3 separate regions of the Mus musculus genome follow, and regions 1 and 3 are each reported to be linked to region 2. Evidence: microRNA targets listed by miRTarBase, many of them from high-throughput screens and not tested one by one. Region 2 holds a microRNA gene; each other region holds the end of a gene's coding sequence.

Region 1 (5,320 bases), not on the chromosome of region 2:
CTAGCCCAACCTGAACCATGTTGTAGCTTTTATTATATATGTATCTTTACATTTTAATATATATTATGCATTTTAATGTCTGTGTGTGCGTGGTGTGTGTGTGTGTGCGTGCGTGTGTGAGTGCGCATTATTTATCTACCTGTTTCCTTCTTGGGTCTTGGCTGTGGGACATTATTGGTTGGGTTAGTCTGTTTTAAATATATGCAGGTAAAATGTGTATTATTATATAAACCTTTCATTTAGATGTCAGTATTTTAATCCATGGAGTTCTTAACCTTGTATCCACAGAGTTCACTGCGCCCAAGAGGAAGAGAAAATGCTGAACCGGGAGGCTGGTGGAGTTTTAAATTTTGAGCTTTCCAACAGAAGAAAGGTGTCATGTGTTCTAAGCAGGAAGTAGCCAGTGAAGACTGGATCTGAGAACAAGCTCATTTCTGTGAGATGGAAGAGCATGCCATAGGCCAAGAGTTGAGTAAAGGTTTACTCTGAAGATTAATTTTAACATTTTTGTTAATATTGCAATTTTAACAAATTACATTGTAGTTTGTTACAGAATAGATTGTAAATGTGTTAAACTTGTTAGACTTGTTAGGGGTCTGTATGAGTGGAGATAGAGTTTCTATTGCCTTCAGAATGTAATAGAAAGAATTACATATTTGTGAGTTAGTACTCTTTCCTGAAAGTTTTTGTGCTGTACTAATGCATTTATATATAAATGATTCATACCTGTCACCTAGCAACGGATTTGGCTGGGGTTTTTGTTGAATATTTTGTGTGTTATGGTTAAGTGCAATAAAAATTTTGCCCCCTTGTTTTATCTTCTAGTGTGTGAAATTTTCATGGCCAATAACTTGACTGATACCTTAGTAAGTTACGGCTGCCTTCGTGCTTACGATGTACCCTTACTTCCTCATTGATTTGGACAGGGTCTGCCTGTGTATGCTAGGCTGGCCTTGAACTCTCCATGCGAGTACTGCCTTGCTCGGCCTCCCCACTGCTGGGATTATAGATAATGCACCGCCGGGCCTCACTCCTTACCCTCTGTAGTATTTGCTTTAAAGTTCCCATTGGTCTACTGTATATGAATGCATAGGTACCTGTGTGTGTGTCCTTGTCTACACATAAGATTAATTAATACACTGTTTAATGCTTATGTACTGTCTAATAGGCCCATAGGAGCAGTCATGTAGATTCTGAAACGTGTCTTTGACACAGAACTTTTGTAAATCACAGAAAAGATGTCTCTAGTCACGTGTGTGCTGCTGTTTTAATTTCACACCCCTGGAGTTTTAAGTGGAGATGGCTTTAGCTGTGCTTGAAAGCTGCCAACACACGGCCTCTGTGTTGTGAGGCTAATGCAGCCTGACATATAGTTAATTATTAAGGCTCAAAGGCTGGCTTGAAGAGGTAATTTCCAAGTCTGATATGATTGAAAATGTATATCTTAGGTATGTAATATGTTAAGACCAAAATACTGATGTTGGCTTGGATAATACTTGACATCGTTATCCTGTTAGCTACTAAAAAGCAGTTGTTTCCTGTGTCTGACTTCAGCTCTGTCCGATAATGGGTTGGACATTACAGTGTGAACATGGGCCAGAGCTGCTGGGCTGCAACACCAGAGCTTGGTTAGTAATATGTAGCTGAGTGGATTAGCATTGTACAGCTGAAACGCTATGTACCTGAGTCGTAATCTATTTTTCACAAAGCGCTTATAAAAGACCATGGTGTCATTTCACAGACAAAGGGATGGTGAGTAGCAAACAGTGTTGTCATAGTAACCGAAAGTTTGTGTTTGCCCAGCTCCCTGAGTTGATCAGGCTAACCTGTGGTTCACTCCACAGCTGAAGGGAACCCTCATTACCTTGTGTCAATTTTAATTAGGTATAATGAATACCATCTTCTCAGACTACCTTGGGTATAGTGAAAGACTGGTACCTCTGTCTGTTTATCTGTCTACTTACGTGTCTACCTATGTCTTGAGAAAATACCTTAAAAACAAACTTTGCACTGAAAGTTACTTTTATTTTTCTCAGGTTAGCTTTGGAAAATAACTGTAGTTACTAATGCCTTCCTTACCCTTCATTCTTGAATTAAATTACAGTTTGAAGAAGGCTTACTTTTTAAATGGCTTAGAAAGAACTCTGTGGGTGTTAAAACTATTCACATTTTCATTTATCTTTTGAGCGACTATGTAGTAATTTTCATTGCACATTTTTCTTATTCTCTGTGTTAATATAAATGTCAAAGCCCAGACTTGAGGTTGTATAATCCCTTTTATGTGATATTTTTAAATGTCTGAATTATTCATTCTACTGTGCTGTGTATTACAGGTCTGAATTTTTAAGAGACATTCAAGCAGGCTCCTTTCAGTTGCAAGAAACAAAAGCATACTCCCACTATCGTAAATGCTGGGAGCTTACTGGAAGATTATGGTTAAATAAGTAAGGCACTCATCAAAGACAGCTTCCTCAAGGGTTTGGGAATTAGCTATAGGCCTCTCTTAACACCAAATGATGCTCTTAGCTAGGGTGGAGATCCAAATCAGTTGTGTCCCATGTACCAGAGGGCATGGCAGATGACAGAGAAGGACCCATCTGTGGCAGCTTTCCTCAGCAAAGGTGAGAAAGGTCAGGCCTTTACAGTCTCACGGGTTTCTCAGTGTAGTCGTGGTTTGACAAAATGCAGTGTCAGCCTTGCACCTTCAGGATGTAGTTAAAGGGACACGCTATTCCCTTCACAGGTAAGTCACTGCACAGTGGTGAAGGACCTCAGCTCTGGGGCAGGCTGGGTTTGCTCTGGCATTTAATAATTTATGCCATCTGTAATAATTTGGGGCTGCATATACTGTAACACATTAATAGACTGGCAGAGGCTTCACCAGTGAATGTTTTACACCCAGTCCTTTGTTACAGTTGGCAAGTTGCCCATGCTGGACTTGGGATTCACTGTGTAGCCCAGGCACGGCTTGAACCTTCTATCCTCCTGTCTCACTTTCCCAAGTAGGTGGGACTACAGACTGCCACCTAGCAACAGTCCTGTGTTTACTCCCGTAAATCGAACCCACTGCTCTTTATTCCTCTGGGAAAGCCGTTGGGAGTAGATCTCGGATGGTTCGTTTTCAGTCTGAAGAAATTAATACTGATTTATTTATATATATATCAGCACGGTTGCAGACCAGTTCTATCATATTTTGTTTGTCTGAAAAAATATCTTCATTTCTGAATGAAATTGTTTTTGCAAGATGTAGAATTCTAGTTGTTTCAGCTCTTTCCCCCTTTCTGTCAACACTTGCAAGACTTTTTTCACTCCATCATCATCAGCCTGCTTTGTCTCTGGCAGGAAATTAGAATTTGTTCCTCCAGTCCCTCGTGTACCTCAATCTTTTTTTCTTTGTGTTATATTTTTGTCTGTCTGTCTGTCTGTCTGTCTGTCTGTCTGTCTGTCTATTTGATGGTGGGACCCATGGCCTTCATATACTAACCACACGCTCTACCAGAAGTTCCTCCAGGCCCTCCCTGGCTGCCTGCAGGCTTTGTTGTTTGTTATTCAGTCTGATACAGGTCTGGTGTGGTTGGCTTTTCTAACCCATGATGCATTCTGCACTCTCCTCACTTGCTTCTCTCTCTGGGACTTGAGCCTTGTTTGCTAATTACTTTGTACTCTCTCTTGGGTTGTATTTTGTTTTCTCCAATAATACTTCTTCCATTGCCTCAGAGTGCCTTTTGATTTCAAGTTCACCATCTTTTCTTCTCTTGTATCCAATCTGCTCTTGATTTTCTCCGATGACTTTTCATCTGGAAGCACCGATTGTTGGTTCTGATTTCTCCTTGTCCTTTCCATCTTCATTGAAATAGTTCCTTTGTCACCTTCTCTAACCATTTGTCTTTATGTAGTTGGTGGGGTGGGGGTTGAGACAGGGTCCCTCTGTCTGTCTGTCTGTCTGTCTGTCTAAAAAAAAACTGCTGTTCTGGAACTTGCTGGGTAGACCAGGCTATCCTGAAACAGAGATCCACCTGTGTCCAGCTCTGGGATTAAAGGTGTGTGCCACCACACTCCGTTGTCACTTTTTAAAAATATGGCACTTTTACTGGAACGCAGAGTATTTGTTACATGAATATATCCTAGCAGGATTTGAACTTTCTACGCAGGAGCCTCGTGAGTCTGAAGCTGCCGAAAACTCTGCTTGGTACTTTGTGATGTCAGCCACTTATTAGCCCTAGACTCACTGTGTGATGCCAGAGAGATGAGGGGAATTTATACTCAGGTTTGGGGTGGTGTTGCTGGTGGCTCTTTTCAGAGATTTCCAACCCAGCTGATAATCAGAGAAAGAAAACTAGTTCATAAGATGACATAAACCCTTTCTTCCAGGTTGCTTTTGATCATGATCATTATTGCAGTGGTAGAAGCAAACTGGGAAGCCTTGTTACCAGAGAATTAGAGTATCATGTTAGCCTCAGCCTTTGAGAGAAGGCGATGAACCGGAGTTGTTTATGTAAATGTAATTTTAAGTGATGTGATTTTGCTAGAGCTTCAGCAGTTGCTAACCGTTTGTTAAAGGCTTTAGGTGGCTGGTTTGTCTTAGTTTCCTGCAATGTGGTTGGTGCATAGCATCCCTTGGTAGCATCGTTAGGCTGGCAAGGGCTTCACCAGTGAATGTTTTAAAACCATAAAGCATAGTTAGCTGAGCTTACGGTCTTTGTAAACTTCAACTGTTTCCTTCCACTAACAGTGCAAGAAGATACTTTGTGTATTGTATTAAAAAATGAAATACCCTGTCTTTTAAAAAACACGGTATATCTAGAAAATCATCTTGTTTGCAATTTGATAGGAACCAATCAAAAGATTTCATTTGTCTTCAGTGTGTAACAAAACCTTTTATTACCAGCGAAGTGATCTATATGTATGTGCTACCAGTGAATAACTCTTATTATTTTTTTCCATGTGCTTTCTTAGATTTACAAATATGATTTATTCCCACGACTGCAGTCTACAGCGCTAGAACAAATGTCTCTGTAATGTTTCTGGGTCTGTGTAATTAGGATTTAATTGCTTTGGAGAGGAAATGGGAGTGTAGACTGTCTCCTTGGGGCTGTATTACAGAATTTCATTTTGTTTTATTCTTTGGTGGATTTATTTTTTCCCTGATATTAACATTAATAAAGTGAGCAGAGGATTCTAACCAATTGTGCTGGCTGGATGGCTACAGGAAATGAGACAGGGCAGGTGTGGGCTTCCTGTAAGACCTTGTCGAGCCCAGAACTTGTGGCACCAGAGGGAGGGTCTAGGTCCAGCAGGGTCATAGTTCTAGCCACTTAGT
Region 2 (3,000 bases):
TCACCTGGTTCCTGTCCCGAGCATTTGTGTACCTGATCTTCTGAATGAAGTAGAATATGAGCCACGCTGAAGAAATAATCATCAAAACAATAAAGGAGATTGACACGAAGACTAGAGAGCCACGGCTGAAGTTCTTTGGCGGCATTCGAGTTCCAACAGCTATTGTCATTTGTACAGAGATGTTTTTCTCCAGATAACTCAAAATATCCTTACCCCTCAATTCTGTTATCATGACAGCAATAATATCTCCCGTGCCTGTAATGTAAAACAAATACACAGACTAAAGTGACATCTGAAATTCATAGACACATCAAATAAATATACACATATGCTCCATAGAGAAATTACCATAATTTTCACTAAGGTTTATAGATTCCAGTTCAACTGACATGAGGCTGCAGCTGTGTAAACTGACAGGCATGAGAACATGTACAGTGCTCCAAACAGGTAACGCATAAAGCAACTGTGGTGTTAACAATGCACAAACTGCCTTACCGGTGCATTAGAAGCACTGTGAAAGCAGCCACCTGTGACTAAATCAGGTTAAGTCTTCAGTAGAAAACCTTTCTATAGCAATCAATCTGGAAAGTTCTGACAGAGAAGCACTGTCATTTACAGTCTGAACAGGTGGTCCTTGCACTACTCATCCTCACACGCACTGCTGAGCAAGGACTGCTCTAAGAAACAGAAAGAAGGGTACTTCTTAGGGCACACACTTGGCTATGGAGTGACAAGTGCCGAACGGCAACATCTTTTACCAACAACCTTTGAAACTAACTTTGGTCTTCTGTCTACAGTAAAGCTCCTTCCAGGGCACTTCTGGAGCTCAAACGCAACAATTTTCCCACCCAGTTTGGAGCCAGCATCTCACATTGCCTCGGCTAGCCTCAGACTTGAGTTTTATGTTAGTTTTCCACCTTGTTTAACCATGCCCAGCGCACTCAAATCCTCTAGGCAGGCCCAAGTTTCAACTTTCTGGACTACTACCCATAATGATACCTAAAACCTTCAGTTCCTAAAAGCTGTTCAGAGTTCTGCCCACAGGCACAACTTTTATAAGTTAATTACAAGGATGGTTCAGTTGTGTTTTCAAGTCCTTTTCTCACATGGCTTCAAGGGCCTGTTTTAAGTCAGAGTGAGCAGCTACTCACCAAGGTCACTTTTGTGAGTATGAAGGAGGATTGTGCATCCAAACACAAAATACCCTCTCAAAACAGCAAGCAGAGACCCCAGACCTGACCTTTTGAAGGCTCTGTCAACAAATATTAGAAACACTTGTTTTGATTTCTTGTTACCTTTAGCAGTCAAGATGAGACACAACAGAAACTCAGTAACAGAAGTTTTGAAAAAAATATAGCTCAATGGAATATATATTTGCATAATACTGTATTCAAAACGGTTTATTCACTTTATTAGAGTAGTAGTTTACCAGTTTATTTTTGCTTAAAAAATCTATAAACAAAAAGGAGACAACAAAATTAAAACTAGCATTATTAAGTTAACATCTGCCTCTGGTGAGTGAGTTAAAAAGAATCATAAAAGAATGCTAAACCAGTTTAAATTTCCATTTAGAAACCTTAAGTTTGTGCTTTTACAATGTTGATCAACAGGCATGATCTGTGGTGTTAAGATACCAGGTATGGCTATAAAGTAACTGAGACGGATCCCACAAACGACATATGACAATCAGTCTCATTGCTTTATAATCACACCAAGTACAATTGGTTTTAGAAATCAGTTCTGAGGCTCCCTCTTGAAGACTCAAGCTGGAAGTGGGGAGAGCTGCACAGGTAGCCAAGGCAACCAATCCAGTAATTTCCTTAACCGAACACTAAATGGGCGCGTCAACTAATCTCAACAGGAAGCTGTTTGGGAAAGAAAAATTTAATTAGTTCAACACTTGTCAATATTCACTGTTAGGAGGACAAGAGTGAATAGATCTCACTGTAGCTTTATCATCCTAGCAAAAAGAGGAGACTGGGCAATGTTGCCAAAGGAGACTGAAAATGATCAAATAAAAAAGTACAGCAGCACATCTGATATTAGTGAAGGCAGTGATCTCTTACAGAAGGTGATGAAGCAAACTACAAACCCTCCTAGGAAAAAAGTTTCTTTCTCCCCAACATCTAGAGCTGGGCTGGGTTCAAAGAGCCTAACAAGATGGCTCAGACATTTACAAATGGGGATGGGACTAAAGAGATGGCTAAGAGCACTGGTTGATCTTGCAGAGGACGAGGTTTGGTTCCCAGCATCAATATGGCAGCTCATAACTACTGTAACTCCAATTCTAGAGGGAACAGACACTCTCTTCTGGCCTTCGAGGGCTCTGTACACATGGTGCACATAGACTCATGCAGGTATACACACACACACACACACACACACACACACAATAAAAAAGTAAATAAACCTTAAAAACAAAACAAAAAACTCTTGGGAGAGTTGGTGCAGATTCAGGAGGGATGATGACAACAGAGGAAACTTAACCCTCAGGATAAAACTAGGATTAGAGTAGCAGTAGCTGGTAGGAGAGAGGGGTTAATTAGACTGAAGTAATGGAAACATTAAACAGATACAAAGAATGTGACCAGATCACCCCTATGCCTGTGTTCTGAAACACCAAGACATGGCTTTGGAGTTCAACAATCATGCAGCTATGTGTTCCTTTTCTACTGCTGTGGTTAAACATCATAGCCAACATAACGTATACAAGGAGGGGCTTGTTTGGCTTATAGTTCCATCATGGTGGGGAAGAATGGCAGCAAACTGTAGGTAGGAACTGGATGCCAAGAACTCACACCTTTTTAAAAACACTGTTAATTTCAATTATGTGTTTATGTGTGTAGCTTTGTGCATGCAAGTTATAGTTGCCTGTGGAGACCAGGAGTCACAGACCCCCTGGAAGGGGGGATACGGGCAGTTGTGAGAGACCTGTTGTGGGTGCTGGGAATTGAACTCAGGTTCTCTCCATGAGCAGAAGAATGCCCTGGAAACCTCTGA
Region 3 (5,320 bases), not on the chromosome of region 2:
TATTTTCCTAACGGTCATAACTTACCATTGGCAGGAGCAATCAATGTAGGGGGGAAATTAATGAAGTAAAATAGGAGAGGGAAAGTAAAAATGGTGAGAACTGGCTGGTTATTTCATCCAGCTGGTAATGAATGTGGAAAGAGGAATCCCACATGAGGACAGTGTTACACAGAGATTAACATCCCAATGGCCATTCTTTGTTATCTTTAAACCTCAACCTGGCAAAAACTCCCCCATGAGGACACTGGAAACTTGCAAATGCTGATGCAAGAATCCCCCTGACAGGGACATTTCAGGTCCTCATTAGCCAGGCACAGAGGTACATCTTACAGAGCTTTGTGTCTGTCAATTTCTACTGTCCGAGGCCAGAGTAGATGTGCTCATTTGCTAGCCTTATCATTTGTTACTGCCTTTTCTGTGTTTCCTCAGGTAATATTCAATTACACAGGGCCTGATTCTCTCTCTTCCCCACAGTATTGATGATCAAGGTAGGACCACAAGGAGCTAAGATCATTTCAAAGGGTAAAGTAGGAATCAACAAGATGAGAATAAAGGCAAGTAAATAAGGAAGAGTTCATCCTTTGCAAGCTTAATTTTCTTATCAGTGTATGGATTCTCTGTGAAGTCTAGGACGTAATTATTGCCTGCATGTAAAGCAAGGCACATGAAATTAGGGTACATGCCTCAATAAAAACAACAACAATAAAATACCTAATGACTGAAATGCACCGCAGTTCAATCTGTTTACATATTTTCTTTCAAAAGAATGGCAGAGTTTACTAATTGCTGATTTCATAATTACTGTTTTGGGTTGTTTTTGCTTCCAATATTTACCGAAGTATATCCAAATTACACTGAACACCCATGCATCTTTTCTCATTTTTAAAAAGGGTAAAATGCTTTTGAAAAAAATTGAACCCAATTAAGATTAATTTTAAATTTAAAAAAAGCTGGCATTGTGTGAATGTGAACCAGCAGGAGGGATTTTAATTGGAATAGAGGAGTCTGTAACATTCTCCTCCCGTCACATTTGCTTCATCCTACTTAGTTAAGCTGGTTGGGTTGCACTGAACATGACAGAGATGATTGAAAAAACAACTCATGCCATCTTCAAAAGTTTTAAAGAAAAAGTATTATGAAAATTAATTAAGAATCTTTAGGTTCCCCGATCATGTGCTTAATAAAGGAGGCACGAAGTCTACTCTGAAGTCAAACCCAAGCTGCTCAGAACCTTCCGGCCTGATGTATTTAATGTTAAGAGAGACAAAGATATTCACCTCACTCAATGTTCAAGGGCTGAAGCTGAACTACCTTGAGTTGAATTTTCTTGTGCTTGTCATAGGATGACCTTGTATAAGTTGCTAACTGTTCATCATCTGTGAAATGGGATCCATGGAACCTGACTAAAGAGATGTAGGGGTTAGTTAACTCAGTAAGTCACAGAGAGTAAGTGAGTAACTTTGAACATGGACAGTGTTACAGATCTGCTTAGACTAACTGAATTCCAGAGTCGCTTTTCTTCTAAAGCTCTGAGAATCATACAGCGTGGTCTCAGTACAATGAAATTAAGAGAGACATAAAACTACCTTCCAGGGGAGCTCTTTTGTTCTCCAGGGTTTCTTTCCTACCTAAAGGGATGATGACAGTAGGACTCTATAAGACTTACACACACCATTTACCTTACTAATATCCTTTCTCATAAGTGGGTAGTATCTACAGCTTCAGGTCGTTGGACAGAGTGTCCTCATTCTGCGCCAAGGGGCTCAGTAGTTGTCAAAGAAAAACCTCAATGAGGGGAATCCTACCATACTTGCATTCCTCAGAAAGGGAATCTGAAGCTTTGGAACTGGAGCAAGAGACCATGACCGGCAGTTAGTGAGGGTGTCCTGATGTTGGCAGAGGTATCACGTAAAGCTGGTCCCTCGTTCTTCCATCCCGCCAGCACCAGGAATAAGGACTGATTTATGTATGCTCTCGATCGGTACACTCCCAAAGTATTTGCCTTTTATTAGAAGATACTAATACAACCATCTCAATTTAACTGCCCACACCCCACATATCATACAGACAACCATGAAACACAACACAACACACACACACACACACACACACACACACACACACACACACAAGATGCAGAAAGAGGAGAGATGAGAGATGTGAGAGAGAGAGAGAGAGAGAGAGAGAGAGAGAGAGAGAGAGAGAGAGACTACAGAGTTTTTCCTTTAATTCTTCTATAAACGCCATGCCTACTGTGAAAAGATGACTGGAGTATTTTTGTTCTCATTTCCCTTAGACTAACATTAACTTCTGAAATTGTTTACAAATTAAAAAAAGGAATCATTAGTAAGTTTACAGATATTTAGAGTGTACTATATCACAGCGATCGTTTTAAGCAATGTCTACCTCTGACACCAAAGAGAAAAATCTATGTAGAATGTGGTATATTGAAACTGTTTTAAAAAAAACAACCAAACAAAAACAACAACAATGACAACAAAACAAAAAACAAACAAACAAAAAACCACTTTTGTCAAAACTGTGTGAGATTCTACTAATGACAAAATCAAGCGAGGAGAAATTAGGCATCATAAGTCTATTAGATATTAGATATTTTTGATTTTAGATATTTTTAAATTTTTCTATCAAGCCCTTTGATGAACATAGGAGATATGCTGAATGTAGAAGACATTGTATCAAATTACAGGTTTTACTGACTTAGAAGAGCATAAACAAAAATATTAAAATATTCGTCTAAAAGATGCAAAGTCAAATGTAGGCTGAAAAGTGTGAGGAATGGTAAGAACAGTGTCGCTCTAATGGCATGCCCCCACTCCCCAATGTGGATATATCCCTCCACCAAACCACAATAAACAATGTAGAACAATTTGATTATTATAAATTTTATTAGAATAATAGAAAATCATACATACAGATAACCATAGGATACACACACAGGAATTTAAACAGTAAAATTTAGACTTTTCAATATGAAACAGTGTGTACATCTCATGGAGATGATACTGATAGAAATAACAGGAAACAAGAGAATAGCCATCTTGTAAAAGAAAACTATAGGAACAAATTCTTGGAGTCATCAGAAAATAAAAAAGGTATAGTTCTGTTATGTGTACCATAAAGCACAGGGGTTGGAGAAAGTGTGACCCCACATTTTGACTGGAAATAACAATGGTCATAGGAAATCCACTAGTCATTCGGATTTCTTCTTGATATGTACAATATATACAGACCCTACAGAAAAACTTAAAAAAAAACCCCATTCTTCTTTTTACATAGCAACCTTGTCTTAAATGGAATCTCTAAAGAAGGGTGGGACACTAGAAAGGTATCAGCATTTGGCTAAGGTTTAATGTTGCTTGAGAGCTATACCATCGATTTCCAATTTTGCTACCTTTGGTAATAAGAAAAAAATCCCAGCAAAATGCGAAAATAGTAGGTAAGTGGTAAAAAATTCTAGCACTCAATCTGCTATTTTTCATATACCTTCTACATGTTACTGCCAAGCCATGTCTTCCACAGTCCTTTGAAAATCACATATTGAAAGACTCGACTCATCCATATCAAAGCCAGCAACATCACCATGTTCTTTTACAAATTTTACTTGGGAATGGAAAAGGCTGCCTGGCTCGATGAGATAGAGAGTGGAATTCCATTAAAAATCCATCTCTGCCATCCAAACCAAGAGAGAGTCCCTTAATAGGATCAGAAATTATAAATGAAGAATTATATGCATTTTGTTTTATATTTGGGTTAAGATACAGCTTTTTCATTATTTTCTCTACTGGGATTTGACAAAACCTGAAAGCTTATTTTTACATGGGAAGGGGATGAGTCCTAATTCTCTTTCCCAAGTAAGTTCACTTTAATTTTTAAGGAAGGATAAAATGTATTCATTTCCATGTTCCATCTTTTTCTTTGTAAATACCAACAAAAAGAAACAATGTTACAATCTTCACTCAGGTTCAATTTCCATCTTTGAAGAAGAGGGATAATTCTAAGAAGAGCATGCAATGCCAGCAAGCTTCAAAGAAGTGCCTGTTCTGTGTCACCTTAGTAGCTTCATGTAAGATTCTGCACAGGGACATTGCACATTGGAGGAAACAATGCTTTCCCATTACTTCCTTTGTTTTAAACAACGGATTCTTGCAGTAAAGGCTGATAGGAGAAATATTGTCACCTCATTTTATAAAATAAATAAGTGAAAGATGAGAGGATGAAGTGACAAAGGGAATCTCGCAGCCATACAGTAGCACATTGAAGCAAATGTCACTTCCCCAAGCTCAGAGTATCATTTTCTGACAATACGCCCTTCCAGGCTGCTCCAGTCCAGAATAACTGTTTAAGTGCATTTTCCTCTGAGGAGTCAAATTAGTATTTAGAAATGATAGGTAATATTGTAACAATGGGAAAGGAACATTTGGAATAAATGAGAAATATTTTAGTATAGAAAAACTCTGTGTGTGTGTGTGTGTGTGTGTGTGTGTGTGTGTGTGTGTGTGTGTTTGTGCATTGTGTGTGCTGTGTGTACCGTGTATGTACTATGTGTCTCCATACATCATGTGTGCACTGTGTTTTTATGCATCCTGTGTATGTGCCTCACACATAGGAAAGTGTTTAAACTCATAACATAAGAATATTTCTATCAAAAGTTTGCAGTATGTAATTTGCAAGTTCCTTTGGTTTACCAAGCAAATATTAAGGCATCTCAGATTCCTCTAAAAGGATTTACTGTTTTTATTAGATTCATATTTTACCTATAATGAAGTAGAAATTTAAAAACACATAGCTGAAAACAACATGCATAATCACTGTTTCAGAAAGCACTTTTTTTATGGGGGTAACCAATTAACTTTCCAGGAAATAATAAAAAAAAAGCCCTATCACCACAAAGCATTTACAATAAAGAACAGTAGGACAGACATATAACCTGACAAAGGGTGGATGTTAGAAATGGCTGACGTGGATCCTCTTGCATCCATACCTGTCAAAGATGATAAAGGGCTCATTAGCAAGGGTGGTAATCAGAACACTGGAGACTGAATGTTTCTGTTCCCTCTAAACTTATGCTGAAATCCTGTTTTCAGTTGTAATGATATTCATGCTAGAAGTAGTAGTAGTAGTAGTAGTAGTAGTAGTAGGAGGAGGAGGAGGAAGAGGAGGAGGAGGAAGAAGAGGAGGAGGAGCAGCAGCAGCAGCAACAACAACAACAAAAACAGCAGCAGCAACAGCCTTGAAGGTCTTTAAGGCTCTGGACCTCTCCCTCTGTTTCCCAGGTAACTGAAGAATTTTAAGCATCAGC

What was found. Region 2 holds the annotated microRNA mmu-miR-340-5p (UUAUAAAGCAAUGAGACUGAUU, at 1,685-1,706, opposite strand). A microRNA usually pairs through its seed, bases 2 to 8, with sites in the 3' UTR of a target mRNA and lowers its output. Matches are read on the target gene's strand: a 7mer-m8 pairs with bases 2 to 8, a 7mer-A1 pairs with bases 2 to 7 and ends in A, and an 8mer does both.
Region 1: the mRNA of Snapc1 is a reported target of mmu-miR-340-5p. The part of its 3' UTR that is shown has no 7-base or 8-base seed match.
Region 3: miRTarBase lists Cntn3 as a target of mmu-miR-340-5p. Seed matches in the 3' UTR shown: 7mer-A1 at 4,205-4,211, 7mer-A1 at 3,731-3,737 and 7mer-A1 at 2,896-2,902.

The regions. Positions count from the first base shown.
Region 1 is chr12:73,983,575-73,988,894 of GRCm38, forward strand. It overlaps Snapc1 (small nuclear RNA activating complex, polypeptide 1), which reads left to right. Exons shown (of 10, transcript NM_178392.5): 10 at 289-5,320. The coding sequence ends at 323. Among named protein-coding and RNA genes, the nearest start is that of Syt16, 12 kb to the right of the region's middle.
Region 2 is chr11:50,068,426-50,071,425 of GRCm38, reverse strand. It overlaps Mir340 (microRNA 340), which reads right to left and starts at 1,724; the gene lies at 1,627-1,724. Rnf130 (ring finger protein 130) reads right to left here. Exons shown (of 9, transcript NM_021540.4): 3 at 5-255.
Region 3 is chr6:102,160,417-102,165,736 of GRCm38, forward strand. Cntn3 (contactin 3) reads right to left here. Exons shown (of 22, transcript NM_008779.2): 22 at 2,890-5,002. The coding sequence ends at 4,902. Among named protein-coding and RNA genes, the nearest start is that of 4930587E11Rik, 100 kb to the right of the region's middle.